Drosophila melanogaster: one gene and its partners. The protein of the gene in region 2 purifies or fractionates together with the protein of the main gene of each other region. This does not show direct contact. Each region holds a gene or a part of one and is shown on either strand. Other genes may lie near its edges. The genes, in order: CG4461, Hsp60A, CG10214 and CG4949.

Region 1 (4,505 bases), on a different chromosome or scaffold from region 2:
TGCTTTTAAAAACAAGTACGGAAGATCGAAGCCGGAGAAGCAGTCGCCAATCATATTCACCTGCCGGTCGGGAAATCGAGTCTTGGAAGCAGAGAAAATTGCCAAAAGTCAGGGATACAGCAAGTGAGTTTTAAAATTGTATTATAGTTGCAATAGTTTATATCGGATACATATATGTATGCTCATTTTAGTGTGGTGATCTACAAAGGCTCCTGGAATGAATGGGCTCAAAAGGAGGGACTTTGACGATAAACGTCGCTATATTTCTGAATAAATGAAGATTAATATTAATTAATTAATTAATTATTAATAGCTAAAAAAAACAGAAAACTTTAATTATTTGTTAATATTAAGCTGTATTTTTCATATATCTCAAGTTCTTGACTACACCCATGGCAAGCTTATCAATACACACACGTATACACTCGCACTCAGAAAGCTGTGCACTCCCACAAAACTTTCTCTCTCCCACTCTCTAATGGAGCTCTCTCAATCTGTCTCTCTGCGTATGGAAACTGACCTTCCCCAAGGCGCAACAGCGAGAGAGAACTTCGCTAAATGCTAAAATAAAAGGTAAATAAAGTAATATTTGGACACCCAGAGAGCCCCAGAAACTTCCACGGAGTTCGCTAAAGAACAGTGAACAACCCCTAACTAAATGCCATTGCCCGATTTCAGGCAAAGTGGAAAATTGCATCAGCAAAGGGCGAAGAAAATTCGAGAGAGTGCCGGTATTTTCTAGATTATATGGATTTCCTCTCTGCCAAGAGTATAAATAGCCACCGGTTGGACACTGCGCTCTCAGTTCAAAAAAACCAAACCAACTGCTAACAACTCGAAGAAAGTCAACTAAATTAAAATTTCGCCAGCTAAATAGAAATTTCATAGGATTGAAACTTCAGACAACAAGATTATCTTCGAAACATAGAGGAAAAATTTAAAAAAAAGCCAAGAAGTATTTCAAAGACAACAATTGGACGGAATTTCATCAAATTATTCGAATTTGCATAAGAAGCTTTTGTTGGAAAAACCAAGTTACCTTATTAACTACAATGCGTTCCTTACCGATGTTTTGGCGCATGGCCGAGGAGATGGCACGGATGCCACGCCTCTCCTCGCCCTTTCACGCCTTCTTCCACGAGCCGCCCGTTTGGAGTGTGGCGCTACCGAGGAACTGGCAGCAGATTGCCCGCTGGCAGGAGCAGGAGTTCGCTCCGCCGGCCACCGTCAACAAGGATGGCTACAAACTCACCCTGGACGTCAAGGACTACAGCGAGCTAAAGGTCAAGGTGCTGGACGAGAGCGTTGTCCTGGTGGAGGGAAAATCAGAGCAGCAGGAGGCCGAACAAGGTGGCTATAGCTCCAGGCACTTCCTCCGCCGCTTCGTCCTGCCGGAAGGATACGAGGCGGACAAGGTGACCTCAACGCTGAGCAGCGACGGCGTCCTGACCATCAGTGTGCCCAATCCTCCAGGCGTGCAGGAGACACTCAAGGAGCGTGAGGTGACCATCGAGCAGACTGGCGAGCCGGCAAAGAAGTCCGCCGAGGAGCCAAATGACAAAGCCGCCAGTCAGTAGAAATAAGTTAAGATTATACTAAAACCGATAAAATGCTAGTGAACTCCTATGTTTAGATATTCCAAAACCTATCAAATTTAAGTTCTTGTTAAATTAACAAGTTAATTTTAAAACAATTGTGATTCGGTAGCCCGCAAGCCCAATATTTTTATGTAGAAGAAAATAAATATTCGAAAAGACTATATGATCAAAATATTTCTTTCACTGGGAACACATTTGATATGGATAGTATTATAGATTATTATATATAATTTATATGTATCTGTCAAGTCATGAAAATGGATCCATTCGAAGATCTAATGATTGCCTTAGATGGAGATACAATTTAAAAGCCCCAAAAATACTTTCCATTTTGTTTGCATTCGTCTGACACCTTGGTCATGTAGCATCTTTTTCCGCTTCCTTCGATGATTCTAGTGACGTAGCCACTTGACGCGGGTCCAACTGGCCGTTTATATTGTCGTGTGCACCTCGTTGGCCTCGCCTTCACCGCTGCACTTGGCCGATCCGATCCGATTCGTTTCGATCCCATCCGATGCGCCTCGTCCGGATGACTCATCTATCGTCTCCGCCATCATCCGCCATCCGCAATCCGCATCCGGCGAGGCCAGTCGGCCATCTATAAAAGAACTGACGGCGGCGGCGACAAATTTTATAAGATTTTCGGACTCGTACATAAGCGAATCGCTGCCCTAATCCCGGCGAGAAATGTCTCTGGTGCCTACCACATATCGCGATTTGTCGCGCGAATTTGATCGACTCCGTCCGCTCTACCATCCGCCGTATGATTTCCAGCTATATCCGTATCTGTGGGACGATTCGCGTCTCTGGTGGCCATCGCCTCACACCAGCAGAAGTGACCTACTCCGACCTCTGGATGAGCTGGTGTCGCGTCGAGTGCGCAACCAGTTGATCCAATCGACGCCGTATGAGTGGGCGCATCCAATGAGGTGGGACAACTACTATTCCGGTGAGCGTGTCCATGTGGATGAGAAGGGATTTCGGATTGACATCGATGTGCGACAATTTCATCCCCACGACATTGTGGTCAAAACCAATGACGACTATGTCATCGTCCAGGGAAATCACAATCGTCGCGACGAGGGTTCCAATGGCCTGGTGGAGCGGCACTTTGTGAGGAAGTACCTTCTGCCCCGCGGATACAATGCCAATGAGGTAATCTCGGACATATCCAGCGATGGCATCCTCACCATCAAGGCTCCACCACCGCCGCCAGCCAAGTACTACACGCCCGGAGAGAGATTGGTCCGCGTTCATGAAACCGGAAAGCTGGCCCTGCCCTGGAAATAGTGGACCATGTGTCAAAAATCAGGAAGGCAAACAGTGAATGTGTTTTTACCAAACCCAAATCCCAACCATCGAATGCGCCTAACTCAAGGTGAACTATTTTCGGACACCAAGCAATTGCAGCCGAACATTTAAATTGGATTCAAACATAAATAAAATACAAATTGTACCCGTAGTTGATATAATAAATGCGCAATAAATATTTGGTAGAAACACTGGTGTTTACGAATGGGTCTTCACCTCGTCGCGCCCAATTCAAATCTTCAAATCGATATTTCCAAATATTTGCCTCTTTCAAAAACCAACTTTCATATACAAAAGTCACAACAATTTTAATTTTCCACACCAGGTGAACAAAAGGATTTATTAAATTAATATGAGTATTCTAGTCTTTAGCTCATTACAAATACAATGCAATAAATTAGGAACAATTAAGTAGGGGAATGATGATGGATGATGTTGGATGATGATGGCTCCTTTACTTGTCCTTGCCGTTGGGTGCTCCGTTCTCCTTGCCCTTCACCTCGCTTTCATTTGCCTTAACGTTGAGGTGAGCGGGTCCCACTTGCTGAATTTGAATGATGCGCTCCTTGGACTTGTCCTCGACGGCCTGCGGCTTGGGAATACTGACGGTGAGCACGCCATCCGACGACAGCTGCGAGACCACTTGCTCCGCCTTGTAGCCATCGGGAACCTTGTAGCGGCGCACAAAGTGGCGCATGATGTGACCATGGTCGTCCTGGCGTTCCTCATGCTTGCCCTCGACCAAGATGGAGTCGTCCACCACCTTCACGTTGAGCTCACTGGGCTTGAACTGGGCGACGTCCATGCACACCTGGAATCCATCCTTGCCCACATGGGCGGTTGCCGGCCAGTGAATGTCGTTGCGGTTGGCCATCTCGCGCCGCAAAGCCAAAACCTGGCCGGCGGGCGACGATGGGCATATCGGCGATGCGCAAGGGCATCCGTTGATGGAACGGCGCTGCTGAGTGCCAAGGGGCAGCACGTAGCGGGAATGCGGATGCAATCCCAGTCCAAGCTCGTAGATGGGGCTGCGGGGCTCCTGGAGTTCATCCACAAGCGAAAGCAGAGTAGATAGCGACATTTTTACGTTTCCTTTAGGTTATGTTCCTTTTGCGAGATTGAAATATTTTTTCTTTGGTTAAGTTGAATGAACTTGTTTGACTTGTAAGCAAAGGTTTTTAATCCTTTTTTTTCTCGTTTGAAGTTTTGCTTTTGCGCAAAGTTGCTTTGAGTTGTTCACTGCTCGATTTTTGAATTCGATCTGTGCTCTGTTCGTCAAGCGACGCTGCTTTTATACCCGCTGGAGCTTTTCTAGAAGAGTCCGGAAAGTGACAGAAAAAGGAAAGAGTAGAGAGAGAGAAGAGAAGAGAGAGAACGTGCACAGAGAGAAAAAATTATGAATATAGCTTTGTATCGTTTGATAAACGAGGGATCAAATTAGAAATTTCTTTTATAAAAGTCTAAATTGAATGCTGCTCTAAAAACAAAAAATAAAACTAACTAACCTTTCCCAATAAATGCCATGAGTTTCGAGAAATTTTAAATGTAGTTGTTGTCGTACGCGCAAAAGCAGAGCTAGTGCGCCTGTATGAGTGA
Region 2 (7,550 bases):
CCAGACAGGACGCGCAGCTCCAGGCAGCAGCCTAAGGTGAAGGCCAATGAAACGGAGAAGGAACCAATAGCGCCAACACCACCGCCACCAGCACAACCACCACTGCCCGCAGCTGCACCGGAAGCGCAAAGAGAGAGGAGCAAGGTGCGGCAGCACGGCAATCAGCAGCAGACACTGCCGCCTGCACCGCATCCGCGGAGTAGCTCTGTCGCCACCCCCAGCAGCACCACCAATAACAACAACAACAGCAGCAGCAGCAATAAGAATCTGAAGGCCAAGCGAAAATCGCAGACCAGCCGCCAGTCGCCGGCGCGCAGAAAGCGGCCAGCCAGCGAGAAGCAGCTGTACTACTGGAGCAGCTCCAGCGACGATGAGTTCGGACGCCTGGACGACGAGACGGAGGCCGCTGACGGTGAATCCCGCGGCGCTGGAGCTGGCAGCGAGCAGCGGGATGGCGAACGAACGGAACTGGAGCCGGAGGAGGCGTCACCGTCGCCGGGTAAACACTTCGAGGAGAACGAGACGTACCAGAAGCACGGCTGGATCGTGGGCGATTCGCACAAGAAGCTCGTGAAGCTGCTGGCCATCGCCAAGGGCAGCAAAAAGGTGGACAACTGCGGTGTCAAGCGGCGCACGCCAAAGCGCAAGTGCTAGGAGTGGGTGGAGCAGCGTCACCAGACGTAGCAACAGCTGGCGTAGGAGCACAGCACAGTCTCCTCCCGCCAGACAAGTCATAGCCATAGGCCTCGAGGGGCGGAGTCGGCGCGGGCAGCCGACGACCCATCGCCGCCATCGATCACATACGTACTGCCATTGTGTCATCGTTAATCGTTAACGCCGGCGCCAGGAGGGGATCAGGATCAGGATCAGGATCTGGTTCGGGATCGGGATCAGCTGGAGTAGGAGCGGCAGCGGGAGCACCCACTTGGCAGAGGCCACCTCCTGGCCCCGCACCCATTAACCGTATGCGGAGTATATGCAACATATTTTTCTTTCTTTTAAACATCTAAGCGTTACATTATTTAGGTTTTTTTTATTAAATGTATTTATAATTAATAAACAAAAGAAACAAAAAAGCGAAAGAGCAACAAATATAAATTTGAGCACAACAATTCAAAGCGGACGACCGATCTTCTCATTTGGGATGCCAGTAACCCAGTAGCGAACCGCCAGAGATACAAGCCGTCCAGGTTTTTCCTCAATTTAACTTCGGATTTATTTAATATATTTTACAACTAGCGGTATCTTTACATATATAACATGTAAAAAAAAATAGAGTTAAGGAATAGTTAAAAAAACGTGGAGCACAATGGAGGCGACGGCGTGTGGCGGAGCGAACGCTGCAGTCTCGACGAGCTCACACCCAGCCGGTTGTGTTGGATTTGTGTGCTGATGTTGCGCTGCTCTTGCCAAAGGATAAATGCGAAGCAAAACAAAGTTCCATCAAGGATTAGAATGCGTGTCAAATGGTGGGTGATGTGTCTCCGGCTGGATGCACCGATGTAAGAGATATTGGTGGGTCTCGCTCCGACTGCTGATGACTGATAACTGATGAGCTGCTTTCGCCGCCGACCACGCGACGTCATCGTTCCACATCGTGACTTAAACAGTATGCTGGTTTCGGTTCTCATCACATCTCCCTCCCCCTCTCCGGCTGTCGACCAGTCAGTGGCAGTCGCTTACATCATGCCACCCATGCCGCCCATGCCTCCCATGCCGCCCATACCACCCATGCCGGGCATGGCAGGAGCGCCATCCTCCTTGGGGATCTCGGTGACGACAGCCTCGGCGGTGGTCAGCAGTGAGGCCACACCGGAGGCGTCTGTGATGGCGGTGCGCACCACCTTGGTGGGATCGATGATGCCCTTCTCGATCAGGTTGCCGTATTCGCCCTTCAGCGCATCGTAGCCGTAGTCACCGGCCTGATTCTCCACCTTGGCCACCACCATGGCGCCATCAACGCCGGCGTTCTTGGCAATCGTCATGCATGGCATGCGCAGGGCACGACGCACAATCTCCACGCCGAGTTTCTGTTATGAGATTTCATAGACATTAATACACGAATAACAGAAAAGAGAGATAGATAATCGTACCTGATCCTCGTTGGTGGTCTCGACACCCTCGAGCTTCTCAATGCAACGCAGCAGAGCGGTGCCGCCTCCGGGAACGATTCCCTCTTCGACGGCAGCACGGGTGGCGTTCAGGGCATCATGGACGCGATCCTTCTTCTCGTTGACCTCCACCTCGCTGGAGCCGCCAACGCGCAGCAGGGCAACGCCGGAGGCCAAGCGGGCCAGACGCTCCTGCAGCTTCTCCTTCTCGTACTCGGAGGTGGTGTCCTCGATCTGGTCCTTGATCTGATTGGCGCGACGGAGCACATCGTCCTTCTTGCCCTTGCCCTTCAGCAGCAGGGTGTCGTCCTTGGTGATCACCACCTCGCCGACCTGGCCCAAATCGCTAACCTTGACGTCCTCCAGCTTGACGAGATCAGCATCATCGCCGAAGACAATGCCGCCGGAGGCGATGGCCATATCGGTGAGGGTGCTCTTGCGGTTGTCGCCGAAGCCGGGTGCCTTGACGGCAGCCACCTGAAGGCCGATCTTGAGGCGGTTCACCACCAGGGTGCTCAGGGCCTCACCATCGATATCCTCGGCAATGATGACCAGCGGCTTGCGCTGCGCATTGGCCAGCTCCAGAGCGGGAATGATGCTCTGCACCGATGAGATCTTCTTCTCGGACAGCAGGAGGAGGGCATCTTGGAACTCCACCTTGGCGCCCTTCGAGGAGTTGATGAAGTACGGCGAGATGTAGCCGCGATCGAACTTCATGCCCTCGATAACCTCCAACTCATCGGTGAGGGTCTTGCCATCCTTGACGGTGATAACGCCATCGCGTCCCACCTTCTTCATGGCCTCGCTGATGAGATTGCCGATGGCCTGATCACCGTTGGCCGAGATGGTGGCCACCTGGGCGATCTCCTCGGGCGTGCTAACGGGGCGCGACATGGTCTTAAGGTTGTCCTTGACGGTCTCAACGGCCAGCATGACACCGCGACGAATCTCGACGGGATTGGCGCCCTTGGAGATCTTCTCGAAGCCCTCCTTGGCAATGGCGCGAGCCAGAACGGTGGCCGTGGTGGTGCCATCACCGGCCTCCTCGTTGGTATTGTTGGCCACATCCTGGACCAGCTTGGCACCGATGTTCTGGAACTTGTCCTTCAGCTCAATGGACTTGGCCACAGTGACGCCGTCCTTGGTGATTTTGGGCGAGCCCCACGACTGCTCAATGATCACATTGCGACCCTTGGGGCCCATGGTCACTGCCACAGCATCGGCCAGCACATCGACGCCCTGGAGCATCATGGCGCGCACCTCGGGTCCGAAACGCACATCCTTGGCATAGCCGCGCATGGCCAACTGGCGGCTAATGGAGGAGCGAGCAAGCGAAACTGGCAAACGGAACATCTGTGGAAGAGCAGAGAGGATTGGTATGATGAGAACTGGCTGGTAGCAAGAGATGAATCAAAGCACGTGTTCCGCCTTGGGCAGAACTAAGATGCGGTTTCTTTGAGTTGTTTACCCCGGAGTTTCTTAGTTGATAAGCTTCCAGCGGGTCAAAGGTCAAAAATCTTCGTTCTTGAATGTGAAATTGGGAATACAACGCGTGAGCACTGTTTAACACACGCAGTTCGCTTGACTTTTCCGATAATCAGAGCTGTAAACTTCTCAGATTACTGACAGCAAAAGCCAATGGAATGTTATTTACACGGATACTTATGGAAATTACATAAACGCACAATGCTCCAAAAATTGGGAATTTTCAAAGAGTTATAAAAAAAATAATATACATTTTTTTAATAAAGCTCAATGCAAAAAACTCATTATCAACATAATCATTGAGCTAATTTATGGCATATAACACGTGGATTAGATAAATACAGATGTACATACATCTAGTTTCGGTTTATAAAAATTACAATTTTCGAAAATTACATAAACTAATTAATATCTCTGTGAGAATTGCATAAGCAGAAAGAATGTTTTTTTTTTAGGTTGTTATTAATGTGAATACAATAAAATAAAATATAAGACGAATTTAAACAGTAATCACCTATTGTTTCTATCTAATTTAATGATGAAATAGTTCTAAAAACACAGGCAACATGAGATATTTACATGGATTCTGCTCATCCTTATAAACATCATTATTTTGAATTGAAAAATTAAACCAAATCAATGAGTTTAGGTATTACTGATAGTATTATGTAAACTAATTCGTTGCAGCAGCGAGGCTCCACTGTACCGGCCAGGCCCCCTCATTCCAGTGCCCACCCCCACCCCCCGGGGAACGAACAACATCTTGGCACCGAGCATTCCAGAAGAAACGATTTATGTAACCAGCACTTGGGCAAAAGACTAATATGTAGCTCCCAAAATGGGAGGGAATGTTATTCAATGAATCAAAGATTTCCGCAAACGAGAGTGGAAAGAAAGAAAGGAAGCAGGGCAAGCAGTAGCAGCACATGCAATGCCGTCTGATAAATGTGAAATTGCCGGCAAGCAGTGGAAAACATGTGCAACTGAGTTTCCACCAGCTTTCCAATGTGCGCGCCCGTATGCGTGTTTGTGTGTTTTGAGGTGGATTTAATAAATTCTTGTTGGAATGTAATCATTTACTGCACAATGCAGACATCGTTTACTTTTCCAGTTATCAATGAACAGAACATTCTGGAAACACGATTTGCCGGCTATCGGCCAGATTGTTCGCTCTTATATAATCGCCAATGGGACACACACACTTGCACACAAACTTGAAATGCAATTGGGCAAATGGGAATGGCTCTGGAAATTGTTTAAAAGTTTAGAACTTACTGTGAATTAAACTGGTACTGCGAATTATTGACAAGACAGTTAAGCGAACGCTTCCGATTCTATTTGATGTGAAACAACAAGCCCACTTCACCACAGTTTACTCGCTTCGAAATGTGCGCACAGGCGGTCCGAACTTCCTAACCTTAATGTGTATCGGTGTGACCATTCGTTGGCCATCGAAAATAGCCGGCGCTTATCGATTGCTTGCGTCGGGCAATCGAATATTATCGGCAGCCATATGGGGGACTCGCATTCAAGTAATATTTATAATAAATTGAGCTTTCGCCGATAAATAAGTTTTCTGGTTTCCATAGAAAAGAAAACAATTTAATATATTAATGTATTAACAGCAAATATGCAAATCCAACGCAACTATTAATAATCCAATTATATAATAATGAATAACTATCGCAGCAAGCTTTATACGTTATGCTAGAGATGTTAGATGCGGAAAGCGATAGTTTCGCGCCTAAGTTTTTTTTTTTCAAAATGAAACCATACATATGTATATTTTATTATATAGGTTTACTACATTTTTCGACCATACTATAAAGTCTAAGTAGTTACAAACTGAATCCTTTGCTCGATTGCAGTCGTAATTGGCCCGGTGGAGTTCATGTAGTCCATTAAGGCGTCCAAGTCGAAAGGACCAAACCTGGCAAAAAAAGCTTTTTAATACTTTATTCAAAATCAACATTGTTTAACATGCTTACTCTGGATCTTCTGCATTTTCGCTGATTACGCTAAATCCGTTCTTCCCATTCGCCAGGTACTCCATGACGACCACGCGGTACTTGTGCTCCAAATCGAGTGGAATATACCTGGGCACCAGGCACTTGGAGCATCTTACTCGCACACTGAATACTCGCTGATCGGCGTTCAAATCGTAACGGATACGGAGACCGGAAACCTGGAGGAATCGGGAGGAACGCGGCGTGGCCGAACTGGCATTCATGGGCGCCACCACATGCTCCAGCAGCTCCACAATGTGCTTACCACGCAGACTGAGGGTCACCAGTCTATTCTGCCATGGGCACATGGCAAACAATTGCTTGTAGGTGATGTCTGTAGTGATATACTTAGTCTTATTGTTCGATTAAGGTATACATGTTGTTTTCAGGACTCACTGCCAGCTGGAATAGGCACTCGAAAAGTTCCCGTTGATGTCAAGGCAATGGTCACGTTACTCCAACTCTCTTCAGACGACGATGAAGCATCCTTGACAAACTGAAGATTCTCATTGGACTAGGTCAGTTGCAAGTGGGTTGAAGCCACCACTACTTACCGCATGAAGCATAGCATCGGTGAAGAAGTTACCCAGATTGCATTCCCCACTGCTGCACTGACTCTGCTGGAGATTCACGCGACTCTGGCCCACTGTCCGCTCGGCAATGGGTTTCATCTCGAGTTGCCAAGGCACCATGGCTTGTAGAACGATATCATCTTTGGGAGATTTTAAATGGTATATGATTATATTATGCAACCATTGCCTCCAAACATATTCCCCAGCATCAATAATCTTCCAGAGAAAAGATATGTTTGTGTACTTTCCCTGATAAATTTATTGTGGAAAATGCAATTATTGCACATTATGGATATAATACATATGTATGTATAATCAGTTGAGCACTGTGATGCGTCCCTCGAGGCCCTGGTAAATGGGATTGATGTGATTGCTGTACGAGATTAGGGCATCCAAGTCCGTGACTCCCCACCTGAAATCAGTAAATAATCAAATGGTATTACAACATGGGACACAAGATGAGCTGCCTGTATGTACGTACTGGAGGTCAGTGCCCTCGGCGAGCATGGTGTAGCCATCGCCACCAGCCTGCAGGAAGTTGGGCGATGTGAGGCGATAGAGCTTGTCGGATACCAGAGGCTCGTACTTGGGCACCTCGCAGTCCGCACAACGAATCGTTACGGATATGACACGCGATCCCACCGGCTTCGTGTAGTCGTACTTCGCCCGGATGCCCGAGAACTGCAGATTGATGTACGATCCGGTCACCCCGTTCTCGAGGTCCACTTTGCTCAGGGCCCACTCCATGGCCTCCACTATCTTGCTGCCCGGCAGATTGTAGGAAACCAGCGTGTTCTCGAAGGGCGACATGCTGACTATATGGGCGTACGTAAGATCTGAGGGATACATTCAATTGAAGATTTTTAGAGGAGTTTTTGCTATAACGCGGTCAAAAACGATCACACAACCAAGAGAATGACTTTTTTGTGCAGCCTATGATCCACATAAACGATCCCGAAATTCGTATATTTATTTCTGGAAAATTTTTTTTTTCGAATTTTCCGATTTTTATAATCTTAATTTTTTTGCGAAAAATGGACAAAAATTTACATTTTAAACTGTGAATGCCATTCGAAAGGGAATTTGGTGACGAGTTCAACGAAGTATGACATTCCGTATTTGGATTAATAACTTCATTGCTATGAACAAAAAAGGATTAGTTTTTGTTGCAAAATTGGGGATTCATTTAGCCGAAATTATGATTTTTTCGAAGAATTTAAAATCCTATAACTTGGCCAAAAATGGTCACACATTCAAAAAAATTACTGTTTTATAAAACTTATGATCCAAATAAACGATTCCTGTCAACGTTTTCATAATTAAAAAAAATTTTTTTTTTTTCGAATTTTCTGATTTTTTATAATCATAATTTTTTG
Region 3 (4,539 bases), on a different chromosome or scaffold from region 2:
GGCGGTCAAGCTCTTCGAGCCATCCATTCAGCGCCTGGACAACGTGATGTGCAAAAGCCTGGACATTCTGGAGCAGCGCATACCACTGGTCTATCTGCCGCCCGAAATGGTAAGTAGTCGGCTAGTAACTCCCCCCCATGCGCTGACAAAAGGGCATAATTCTCTGCTTGAAGATGTACTGGAACACCAAGGAGTACATGTCCGATCACCTGGTGCGTCCGGTTCTGAAACGCGCCGATTCTGTCAAGCAAATCGGTAATGCTGTCCTCGAGAGTCCACTTACCACTTATGCAGCCGAGCGCATTGATGGCGCTTTCACAGTCGGCGATAAGTTCGTGGACAAGTACCTGGTGCCCATCCAAACAGATCAGGATCAGACCGATGGTGAGTCCTGGTATCTCACATCTGGGTTAATCTTCAAACGCATGTTGGGGAATCTATTACATTTCATTTTATTTTAAACTGAAGTTCTTATATTTTGGCACTTTTACTAAACTAACTATTTATAATTCAAAATTGTTGTAGTGAAAAAATTGGTTTCGGCCCTGAATGATAACTTTTCGCCGATTCGACAACAATTAAACCGAATGTTTGGCCACAAAAGTTAGTATGCAAAATTACATATTTCTCCATATAACTAGAGATAATCAAAATCATATGAAAGATAGTTTAGTTTGCCAAAAGTTTTACATAAAAAGTAAGCGAAAGCAAGTGATTTGAAAAGTCAGCATCCAGGCAAATCACCTTAAGGTGCACTCATCTCATAGTTTATTTATAAATGCCCACGTTGTCGGGAAGGTTATCTCTGGGGAACGGCGGATTCATTGAAACCTGAAGCCAGAGAAAGTTGCGATAAGCTGAGCTCTGGCCGGAATTTGCTCTCTCATGCTCAAAAAAAATTGTATAAGACACTTATTCCGAGTATCCGCCTTGCAGGCCCACAGGAGGATGATAACGAGGCCGTGCCGGACGAGAGGGGCGCCATCAAGGCGATCCATCATGGTCAACGCTTCTCCCGCAAACTGAAGCGCCGCCTTACCCAAAGAACCATCGCAGAGGCTCGCGCCCTCAAAAAGCAGAGCAAGGAGGCGATCCACGTGCTCTTCTATGCCGCAGAATTGGTCAGTAAAATTCAGTAACCTATTTGCTTTAATTTTTGAGTATCATTTGGTAAAAAAAAAAACCATAAGATTACAGTAACCAATTCAAATTACTTACGAAATGATTACGCAATGTCTGTTTGTATTCTGGTGTACAACCGTAACCCAAATAACACTTTTAAACGAAACCCATTCCACAGATTGCCACCGATCCCAAGCAGGCCGTTCAAAAGGCCAAGGAACTGTGGGTCTATCTCAGTGCAGATGAACCCGAAAATCAAGCGAGGCCCGCCACTCTGGAGCAGTTGATTGTGCTACTGACCCGCGAATCGGCTAGGCGTGTGGTTCATCTAGTGAACTTCAGTGCTCATGTGGCAGCCAACATACCCAGGTTGGTAGATCCCGCCTCCATCCTTATCTTTCCATGTGAACCCCTTCGAACCAAACCTTACAGAAACCTGGCGCACACGACAACAGAGGTTGCCCACCATATTATCTATATCAACCACCGCATCATCACAATCTCACGGCTGGACAAGGTTAAAACCATCTCCAAAGAGGAAGCTGAATCTCTTTTCAAGCGCATGCTGGCGTTCTATGGTAGCCTTCAGGGCCTGACCAATGCCTACCTGGTAAGAAAGGATGTGATACTAGCAGTCAGACGGAAGATGATTATATATATTAAATATATTCGACAGGAGCGCGTGGCCAGCTTTCTATCCGGACGCATGGAGGCCGAGAAGGTGACGGGCAGCGATGGCGGCAATTCCAACCACCGGTCATCGCGGAGGAGGCAGGATCCGAACCATTATTCAGCCACCCACAATAACATCAACGGCGTCTACTAGCATTGAATTCTTTATTGCTATCGTATTTTTATTTCTGTTTCTCCGTGCATATACGGAAAATACACTAAACGATATTGTACATCTATTTTTAACATAATGCATTTGTCAATAATATAAGCCTAACTTCACGCTTAACAATACAACGCGGACTTTTATCCAAAATTATTATAGACTCATATTGCCAATAAAGCATTAGGTATTGAAAGAATTCCTAGGGTGCTTTAAATTCTTGCTTTAATTTATTTAAATAAGTTCGCTTTGTAATACGCAAGCTCTTTGATGCTTTCTCGGATGTCGTCCAGACTACGATGCGTGAAAGATTTTTTGGGAGCGGAATCCAGAATTGCGGGATGCCATCGCTTGGCCAGTTCCTTGATGGTGGACACATCGACGATGCGGTAATGCAGGTAAGCATCTACCAATGGCATGAATTTCATAATGAATAGTCGGTCGGTGTAGACGGAGTTCCCACCAAGCGGACAGGCGCGCTTTGGTATGTTCTTCTCGAGATAGGATAGCACTAGATTGGAGGCTTCTTCGAGATTCACATCCGAGCTCTTGCATCGATCAATAAGACCTGAATTGTAATGATGTTTCATGCACCACTCGTTCATCGAGTCGTAGACCTCCTGCGGATGGTTGATGGCAAAGCATGGTCCCTCCGACTTCACGTTCAGGTCCTGGTCCGTAATGATGCAGGCCACCTCGAGGATTTTGTCCTTTTCAATGTCCAGCCCGGTCATCTCCAAGTCCATCCACACGATGTCCGTGTCTAAGCCACAGGTGCTGCTCATTCTGTCATTTGAATTGAATGCGATGTGGCTCCGAATTTGGCGGTTCAGGGACAATCCGACGCGTCGAAGGTGAGCAAGCATATATAGCTGTAGCGCAGGTTTCTTTTTGCTAAATGTAAATATGCGGCGGTTTTACCATGTGTTTGATAACATGGTATCGTTACGATAACAACTGGTCACACTACAGGCACATTGCCCAACACTGAAAGGGGGATTCCTGTCATTACAGGAACAAAACAAATCGAATATTATGTTCATACCCAAATAATTGCAGAATAATTTGTTCAGCATTCTTATTTGTATCCACCAAAGTCGAAAGTAATTGTAATTAAAGTTAAAGGTTTTATGCGATAACGACTTGGAGCCATTTTAACTACAGCGAACGGTAATTTCTAACAAACCGCGCACGGTCACTCTGTCGAGTTGATATTTTTATCAAAAATTGTTGTACGGAAAACGCAAAAGGTGTCGTTATTGTTGCAGCATGTCCTCCTCGTCGGCCAGAGACCAACCGGGAACCTCCCATGACAACTTCGAGGAATTCTACACAGAAGTAAGTGTGGCGGACGGAACCGCAGGCTCAGTTTTTATTCTACACTGGGTCGGGCTCCTTGCACGGCAGCCGCTCCAAATAAACTAAACCCTTGTTATTATGTACACTTTAGTAAATGATTTTGTGCCTATATTGCAGGTGAAAGAAATTGAAAAACGTGATTCAGTTTTAACTCCTTCTCAACAAATTGATCGTTTACTTCGTCCAGGTTCAACGTACTTCAATCTCAATCCGTTTGAGGTGCTCCAAATCGAGCCCGAGGTCGAATTGGCGGATATAAAAAAGCGATACCGCACCTTGTCAATCCTCGTCCATCCAGACAAGAATCCCGACAACCAGGAGCGCGCTCAAATGGCATTCGATATTGTGTCGCGTTCCTGGAAAATCCTCGAAAACGAACTCACGCGCAAAAGGTGTCTGGAGGTGTACGAGGAGGCAAAGGGGCGAACGGATCAAATGGTGAGTTCCAGTTCCTCGGAGCATTAAGCTCTATGATCGTCCGGCTTTAGAATAATTGAAAATCCAATTGCAATGGCACATTTTCTTTATTGTACTGTATTATATTAATTTGTTCGTTACCTTTCAGATTGCAGAAAAGCGTAAAAAGCTTAAAAAAGAGGGTCGGCCCACTGAGCCAATACCCGAGGACGATCCCACCAAGTACAAGCACGCCATCTACGTTATGGTCATGAAACTGTTTGCCGACATGGAGCGTCGACGGCAAAAGCTCGACCAACGCGACCAGGAGGAGCGAAAGCGAAAGCGCGAAACGGAAATCGAGGAGGAGGAGCGGATAAAGGCGGACCGCGAATGGCAGCAGAACTTCGAAGAGTCGCGCCAGAGCCGAGTAAACAGCTGGCATGACTTTCAGTCGGGTGCCGGCAAGTCCAAGAAAGCCAAGAAACAAAAACATATGACCGGCATGATGGTTCCACCAAAATTTAAGCCCGAGTCGCGATAATATAGCTTCCCAGCGCGGCGCCGCTCCTTCACTATCGCCAGATCACCTCCGCCAAACCGCGTCGCGTTGCACATGAATATTTTTACATTTTTTTTATAAGTATCCTTTGGAATTGTAATTGACACGTGCATAAAATATAGATGTAAGAAACACATTTCCGTCTTGCCTCTTTCCTTCTACAATGGATGGCTTGGACCATCTCCTTCGATCACAGTTCTGTGTACAAGGATGCGGTGAAAACAATATCGCGCTTGATAGCAGCCGACGCCTCCTCCATCTTCGA
Region 4 (6,040 bases), 6.0 Mb from region 2:
TTTAGTTGCTCTGCGTTTAACGGACAATCGAAAGCCGGCTAAAAAGCGATGGTAAATAAACAAACAGCGAAACGCGTTTGATAAACAATGGATATGAACTAATTTTGCGGTGCAATAAGCAACTGTAAATGTTACAAGAACTATTTTTTTTTTTTTGGCCTTTTGCCAGCTGAGCGCGTGCGAGCGAGAGGCAACTATTGTGTGGTGAAAAGACGAAAAACATGAATAGCGCGAGAAGATGGATAAGTGGGAAAATCAAAGCAAGAAACATAGGGAAAACAAATTTATTTACGAAAATCACTTAATTAGGGTAAACGGAGAAAATTTGAGGATAAAAAGGAAACGCGGGCACTGCGAGTTAGAGCGAGATGGCAGTAGGACAGAACGTAAACAAAAAAATATACAATTATGAGTGTGCTAGTTTGCCTGTGTGTGTGTGATTGTGAGTACGTTGGGAATCACTGTTATTGCCGATATTACGGTAGATTGAAAATAATATTTGATATATTACCCATCGTTCATACGCTGCGGTTTTCTAGCATGCATTACCATCAATGCAAGTTTTTCGCCAAATACGCTGCTGCTGCTTCTGTTGGTTTTCCCTCTCTCTCCTGCTCCTCCTCCTGCTGCTGCTTCTTCCGCTGCTGCTGCTGCTGCTGCTGCTTATGCGTCTGCTTCCTCTTCTCCTTCGTCGACTGCTGTTGCTGGTAGTGCTGCTGCTGCTTCCTCTTCTCGTGGAGAAGATAATGCAGCCTTATTCCGATTTTATCCAATATTCTGGGGCCTTTGGCGCCTCCTGTTTGCTCCTCCTTTTGCCTCCACCGCTTCCTCTTCTTCTTCTCACCTGCCAAGGCACGCTCGCTTGTATGTGTGTGTGTGTGTGTTGTGGTCTGCTTGTATGGGAGGCTCTCAGTGGCATGTGTGTGTGTGTGCTTTTCGTCTGTGTGGCCCGCTGACTCGGTGTTTGTGTGGCGTATATGTGTGCCTGAATTGCGGTCGCCTTATTATCGGCTTATTTTGCTGCCTCCTAAAAGTACAAACATTCATAGCAATCCTTTAGACAGCTTCCTTTTTGTCCTCTCCTTAATGCAATTAGCATTCGGAACGCCTTTAATTTTTCACTTAAAGCACACACGGCATTCGCCTCTGCGTGCACGACCGTGAGTGACTGTGTGCGTGCGTCTGTGCATGTGTGTGTGGTGTCGCTTGATCCGTATTTCGTTTGACTTCTTTTCAATTTTACTCCCTTTTTTTCTTGGTACCTTACCGCAATTCGCAATTTGCCGCTCGCCTTCTTTGCTGGGCTGCAATCGCCGCATTTATTTGCTCAGCATTGAACGACAATTGTTTAATTATATGCCGACTTGCTGTGTTCGCTTTTTGGCCTCTATACTTGATGATTTTTTTCAATTCTTTTGCATTACGCTTTGTGCGGTCTGTTCGTCGGCACGGCTGTGTTGAGTTTGCCAGCAATCGGTCGCTGCGTGCGGCTATCCCTCTCGCGCGGCACGCTATGCGGGTGCGAGAAGAGTTCGGCTATATGTGCCAATTGGCTGGTTGATATGGTGGACTCTAGGTGGCGCCCCGTTTGTGGTATTTTTTAGTGCCTGACACCGCTAGGCGTTGGACGGATTGCAAAATGGTCACTCTGTAGCCGGGGATGCCAACTAGGTTCGCATTTAAATTCTTTTTTGGTTACTGTTAAATAATAAATATATATATAAAAACATAACTTTTAACTTTTAACTTTTAATTTGACTTTTGTTATTGTACATATTATGTATATACGCAATAGCTGATCTTTATAAACTTTCGATGATACTGAAATAGTTTTAGATATAGATAGTTTATATTAATTTATCATATATTGCACAACATCATTTCGATAGTATCGCATAATCATTTCGGGCACACTGCTCAAGGGTATTCCTATCGGATGTATTGTTTCTCGATAAGCCGACTTAAAAATTATATGTTTTTTAAAAAAAATTATATATACATATTTACACTTGAGAAATAAGAAAAAGCATTTGCATATTATTAAATTCAATAATTTTTTAATTTAATATAAAACAAAAGAACAAAGAATGATAATTCAAACTGAAAAACAATGAGATTTCTTTTCATATGCAAGATCTTAAGGTGGTATAACTGGTAATAATAATTATTTGACCTGCTTTGCTAAATGCCCTTTCCGACTCCGACGAAGTTGTCCATCGACTTGCGTCAGTTTCACCACAAACCCAAAATATATATGACTGCAAGCTAATATTTGAAAGTAATTAATTATTTGAATTAATTAAAATAGTTGAAGAAATTCTAGTGATTAACCTAAAAACATCGATAGTCTGAAATAAGCATCGATGTTTGGAATATTTAAAAAAAAACCTCGGTGCATCGATATTAGCATCGATGTTTCGGCACCTCTATTAAAAACTCATCCCGATACCGATAATAGCGGCAGAAGAATTTTAGAATTCCTTAAATATATATTGTTTAATTTGTAAGCATTTTTAAGGAATGAGTTTGAGCGACTGCAACAATAACTATATATATTTGACGGGCAGTGAGGATTACGCCCTTAATTTGGCAAAGGTAAGTTCTGAACATCGGATTCAGGTCGGTTTTTGAACATCAAATTGCATTTCTTTTAGCTATGCGAACGCTTTGCCACCAAAGAAAAGCGCGTCTTACTGATCACCAGTCGCCAGCAGGGAATGGCAAAGCGCTATCCATGGGAGGCCCATAACTGCAGCAAATACCTGACCATTCTGCAACTGGTGGATGTGGAGAGCACCCCGCTTCGCATGCTGGAAATGCAGGATAGCGCCGAATCCTTGCGCAGTCCCGATTTGATAGTCTTTGATCTGCAGTCGCTCGTTTTGGATGCACTACTGCGTCCTGTGATGCAGCAGTGCTCCACGAACAAAATGGTCCGGCAAATTGCCAAGTGCTCCGCATCCTTTGTGAATTACCGCGAAATCCTGGCCAATCTGGCGGAACAGAAGGCGGGCAAAAGCATCGACACCATTGTGGTCATGTCGCAGGAACCGTATCCCATGTCAGCAGCCCAGTTCAAGCTGCTTATTGGACTCTATTTCCACGGCAACGAGTGCCACACGAATTTTGCCAAGCTCTCGGCCAAGATCATGGTCTCCCAGAGATTCGCCTAGACGAAGGACAGAAGTTTGGAGCCACTACAGTGCCTTGGTAACCAGTTCCTGAGTTTAATCATAGCTGGCAGTATTGTAGTTATTCGCCGTATGCTCTTGCTTTTCAAACAATACTTACTTAGAACGTTTACCTTATGCATTATTAAAACATGCATTTTGTCAGGTTAGACGAATATTTTCAAAGCTGGAACGAATTTTCCAATCTCGAACGAATTTCGAGTTATTAAGACTGCATTTCCATTTTATTGACTTAAAGCTATTCATATTGCCTTCCCAAAAGATATCCAAATGGGGAACGGTCGAATATTTAAGAAAATGAATTTATAAAAGGCAAGGCACGCTATATTATATCCGCATATAATACTAAGACAGTGCGTACATTTGGCAAGAACTTAAGAAATACTGTACGTTGAAAATATCTCCCTACATGGCATCCATGCAAAATGTTATACGAAAGCGAAGCAATCGAATGCTCGATCAAATATAAGACTTTATTATAGTATACTATTTAGTCTAAAAGGGATTAAAACTACCAAAAAAAAATTGCTGATAATTAATTATAATATACATACATATAACAATAATATTTATTATGCTAAACGGAAATCTCAACTTAAGGGAATTTATATGAAATAAAAAAAAAATTTCGAATGCATAAGATACGTAAATGCAGCTAAAAGTATTGGAGAATGTATTCCGGAAATACGGCTAGTGATCTCCGGAACGCAAGCCACCAAAGCCCGTTTAAAAGGAACTAAAACTCATTCACATGTAGCCCCACCCCAAATCCCTGCTGCCTTCGTCTTCGATTGGAATCCGATCTCCGCATCCCAGCCTCATATGTAGTCCAGCATGCCGCTTATGATCTCAAAGGCATCCCGAGCCGTGGGCTCAATGGCGCTGCTGGGCAGCAGATAACCGTGCACTCCGTTGTCCGCCAGCTGGAGCGTGTAGCTGAAGGGAATTCCGATCTCGTAGGCGGCAAAAGCGTCCGCACAGCCTGGATAAATCAAGGAAGCCAAAGGATTGGCAAGGTCGGATAAAGATCTCTATTATATTCTACTTCGAAGCAAATAATATAAATATTACGCACCCGATCGCTGTTCAATTAGATCGTTGGATGCGTCGACCTTATATCGGGACTTACTACCCTTTTTGCGCAATCCATCGGTACCCACCATCGCCACGTCCAGAAAATCATCCAATCTTTCTGAATTGAAAGTGGAATTGGCCTTGACCGGATAGGATATCACCTGACCATAGGCCTGTAGGGAAATGTAAAGCTGCAAAAATAATGAATAAAGTTAATAAATCAAAAAATATATCTATTTTAGAGAGTTAATATAAAAATTATATATTGTTCTAAGCATACCTTTATCTGCGTCCTATAGTCCATAAGGAACTCAGATACTGCCTTGGTTTCCGGTTCAGAAAATGGCGCTGGACCGGCGTAGAACTCATTGCAGGGTGCCTTGGAGCTACCCCGTTTGCCCCAATGATACAGCCAGTTTCTGTCCAGGTCCACCCCGTAGCAGACCTTATCCGGACCCCGTTTTTGCTGGAGCCATGTCATCGCCGAGTCGAGGAGGCCACTGGGAGGTGGAGTCTGGTGCTGAGATCGCGACTTCTTCCAGAAACGATCGTACTCGTGGCTGTACGCATATCCGTCCGGATTCAGGACCGGCATTATGTACCATGTGGTGTTCCGGATGAACTCCACGTCCTCGTTGCTTTCTGTTGAGTAAACGTTTTATGGGTTATTTTTATACATAACTTTACATAATGCATATGAAATAAATGTTAATAAATATTAATTCTCTTAAGAAAATAAATACGTTGTTCAACCGATCAACGTAGCCGCTTTTCCCCAACTCAAATTACATTAGTTATCCCTTTGTCAGTCCGTTAGTCAGTATATTTGTAGACCCAGAAATCGATAGTGTATACTTTAGACCTTTACAGCTTGCCACTTCTCCTCCAGTTGGACCAAGATCAGAATGGAGAGGCGAAGACCCCGAAAGTCCTCGCGTAAATACGTGTGCTCCAAATCAAACTCTTCAGTTGGAGGAGGAGTAGAGGAAGACAGTGGCTCATCATTGCCTGCCACCGCCAAAGCGTTACTCCTCCAGCCGGACGGTAATAAAGCACCAACCATGACATCCCTTCTGGGCGAACGACTCAGAAGAGTTTCTCGCATCGCAAGAGCTCCGCACAGCCTACAAGTTACCGAAAATCCAGAAGAAGGTGGAGCACCAATCGTACCACTAAGAGAATCCGGCGCATCGGAAGTGTCAGAAGTAAATCCGGGGGTTATGGTCATTCCGGAGTCGGCCAGTCCCCGGGGATCGGCGGTGCATGGACAACACGCTAGCTTGGTCTTCAGTGCTGAAGCCAGGGATTCGGACAGTACGCGGATATCGGAGGAAATGGTGGAAGTGTTCCAAACCTCTTCGGCGAGAACCACATCCAATGAGCCCGCAGGGGGCAATCTGCGCTTTGAAACCACTCCCGTGGCTGTAAGCGAAAGTATGGTTGGCAATATAAACTTCTCCCCGAACGCCATCTACGATCAGAACAGGTATAGCAGCATGATGTCCAACGGGGATTACAATAATGGCAACAGGGGTGAGAGTGAGAGGAGCGTGGGAGCCTGCCACCATGGTTGGGCGGCGCGACAACAACAAGTTGCCGCTGGACCTGCCGGCAGAGACACCCTGGGATTCGCCATCAGTCTGGGCGCCGCTAATTTGGGCCAGAACCGATGCAGTCTGGGCGTTGCATGCGATGAGGACTGTGGCTATGGAACTGGCTGTGATTTTGGATGCGGTCAGGCCCATGGCGTTGATCCCGGAAGCTTTCTAGGTCCG

Evidence for each region.
Region 1: the proteins of Hsp60A (region 2) and CG4461 purify together in Drosophila melanogaster (affinity purification with mass spectrometry, with the first as the bait; one large-scale study listed by BioGRID). This does not show direct contact.
Region 3: the proteins of Hsp60A (region 2) and CG10214 purify together in Drosophila melanogaster (affinity purification with mass spectrometry, with the first as the bait; one large-scale study listed by BioGRID). This does not show direct contact.
Region 4: the proteins of Hsp60A (region 2) and CG4949 purify together in Drosophila melanogaster (affinity purification with mass spectrometry, with the first as the bait; one large-scale study listed by BioGRID). This does not show direct contact.

The regions. Positions count from the first base shown.
Region 1 is NT_037436.4:9,373,199-9,377,703, forward strand, and holds CG4461 (uncharacterized protein), read left to right. Parts: upstream 1-2,231; 5' UTR 2,232-2,285; coding exon 2,286-2,888; 3' UTR 2,889-3,095; downstream 3,096-4,505. Other genes in the region: CG4456 (uncharacterized protein), read left to right, coding at 1-123, 192-246; Hsp22 (heat shock protein 22), read left to right, coding at 1,053-1,577; Hsp26 (heat shock protein 26), read right to left, coding at 3,364-3,990.
Region 2 is NC_004354.4:11,105,955-11,113,504, reverse strand, and holds Hsp60A (heat shock protein 60A), read right to left. Parts: upstream 5,024-7,550; 5' UTR 4,872-5,023; intron 3,703-4,871; exon of another isoform or gene 3,580-3,702; intron 3,465-3,579; coding exon 2,094-3,464; intron 2,031-2,093; coding exon 1,680-2,030; 3' UTR 1,197-1,679; downstream 1-1,196. Other genes in the region: CG11122 (uncharacterized protein), read left to right, coding at 1-654; CG42249 (uncharacterized protein), read right to left, coding at 5,427-5,526, 5,585-5,936, 5,999-6,098, 6,157-6,314. UniProt on the Drosophila melanogaster protein: Prevents misfolding and promotes the refolding and proper assembly of unfolded polypeptides generated under stress conditions.
Region 3 is NT_033777.3:23,764,576-23,769,114, forward strand, and holds CG10214 (uncharacterized protein), read right to left. Parts: upstream 2,914-4,539; 5' UTR 2,824-2,913; coding exon 2,188-2,823; 3' UTR 1,949-2,187; downstream 1-1,948. Other genes in the region: Lsd-1 (lipid storage droplet-1), read left to right, coding at 1-109, 174-384, 526-603, 937-1,121, 1,301-1,491, 1,555-1,732, 1,799-1,948; CG10375 (uncharacterized protein), read left to right, coding at 3,227-3,295, 3,434-3,754, 3,882-4,256; tst (twister), read right to left, coding at 4,465-4,539. UniProt on the Drosophila melanogaster protein: 3'-to-5' exoribonuclease specific for small oligoribonucleotides.
Region 4 is NC_004354.4:17,076,414-17,082,453, forward strand, and holds CG4949 (uncharacterized protein), read left to right. Parts: upstream 1-2,426; 5' UTR 2,427-2,520; coding exon 2,521-2,595; intron 2,596-2,654; coding exon 2,655-3,173; 3' UTR 3,174-4,009; coding exon of another isoform or gene 4,010-4,173; 3' UTR 4,174-4,266; coding exon of another isoform or gene 4,267-4,456; 3' UTR 4,457-4,545; downstream 4,546-6,040. Other genes in the region: CG8945 (uncharacterized protein), read right to left, coding at 4,010-4,173, 4,267-4,456, 4,546-4,907; CG4955 (uncharacterized protein), read left to right, coding at 5,171-6,040.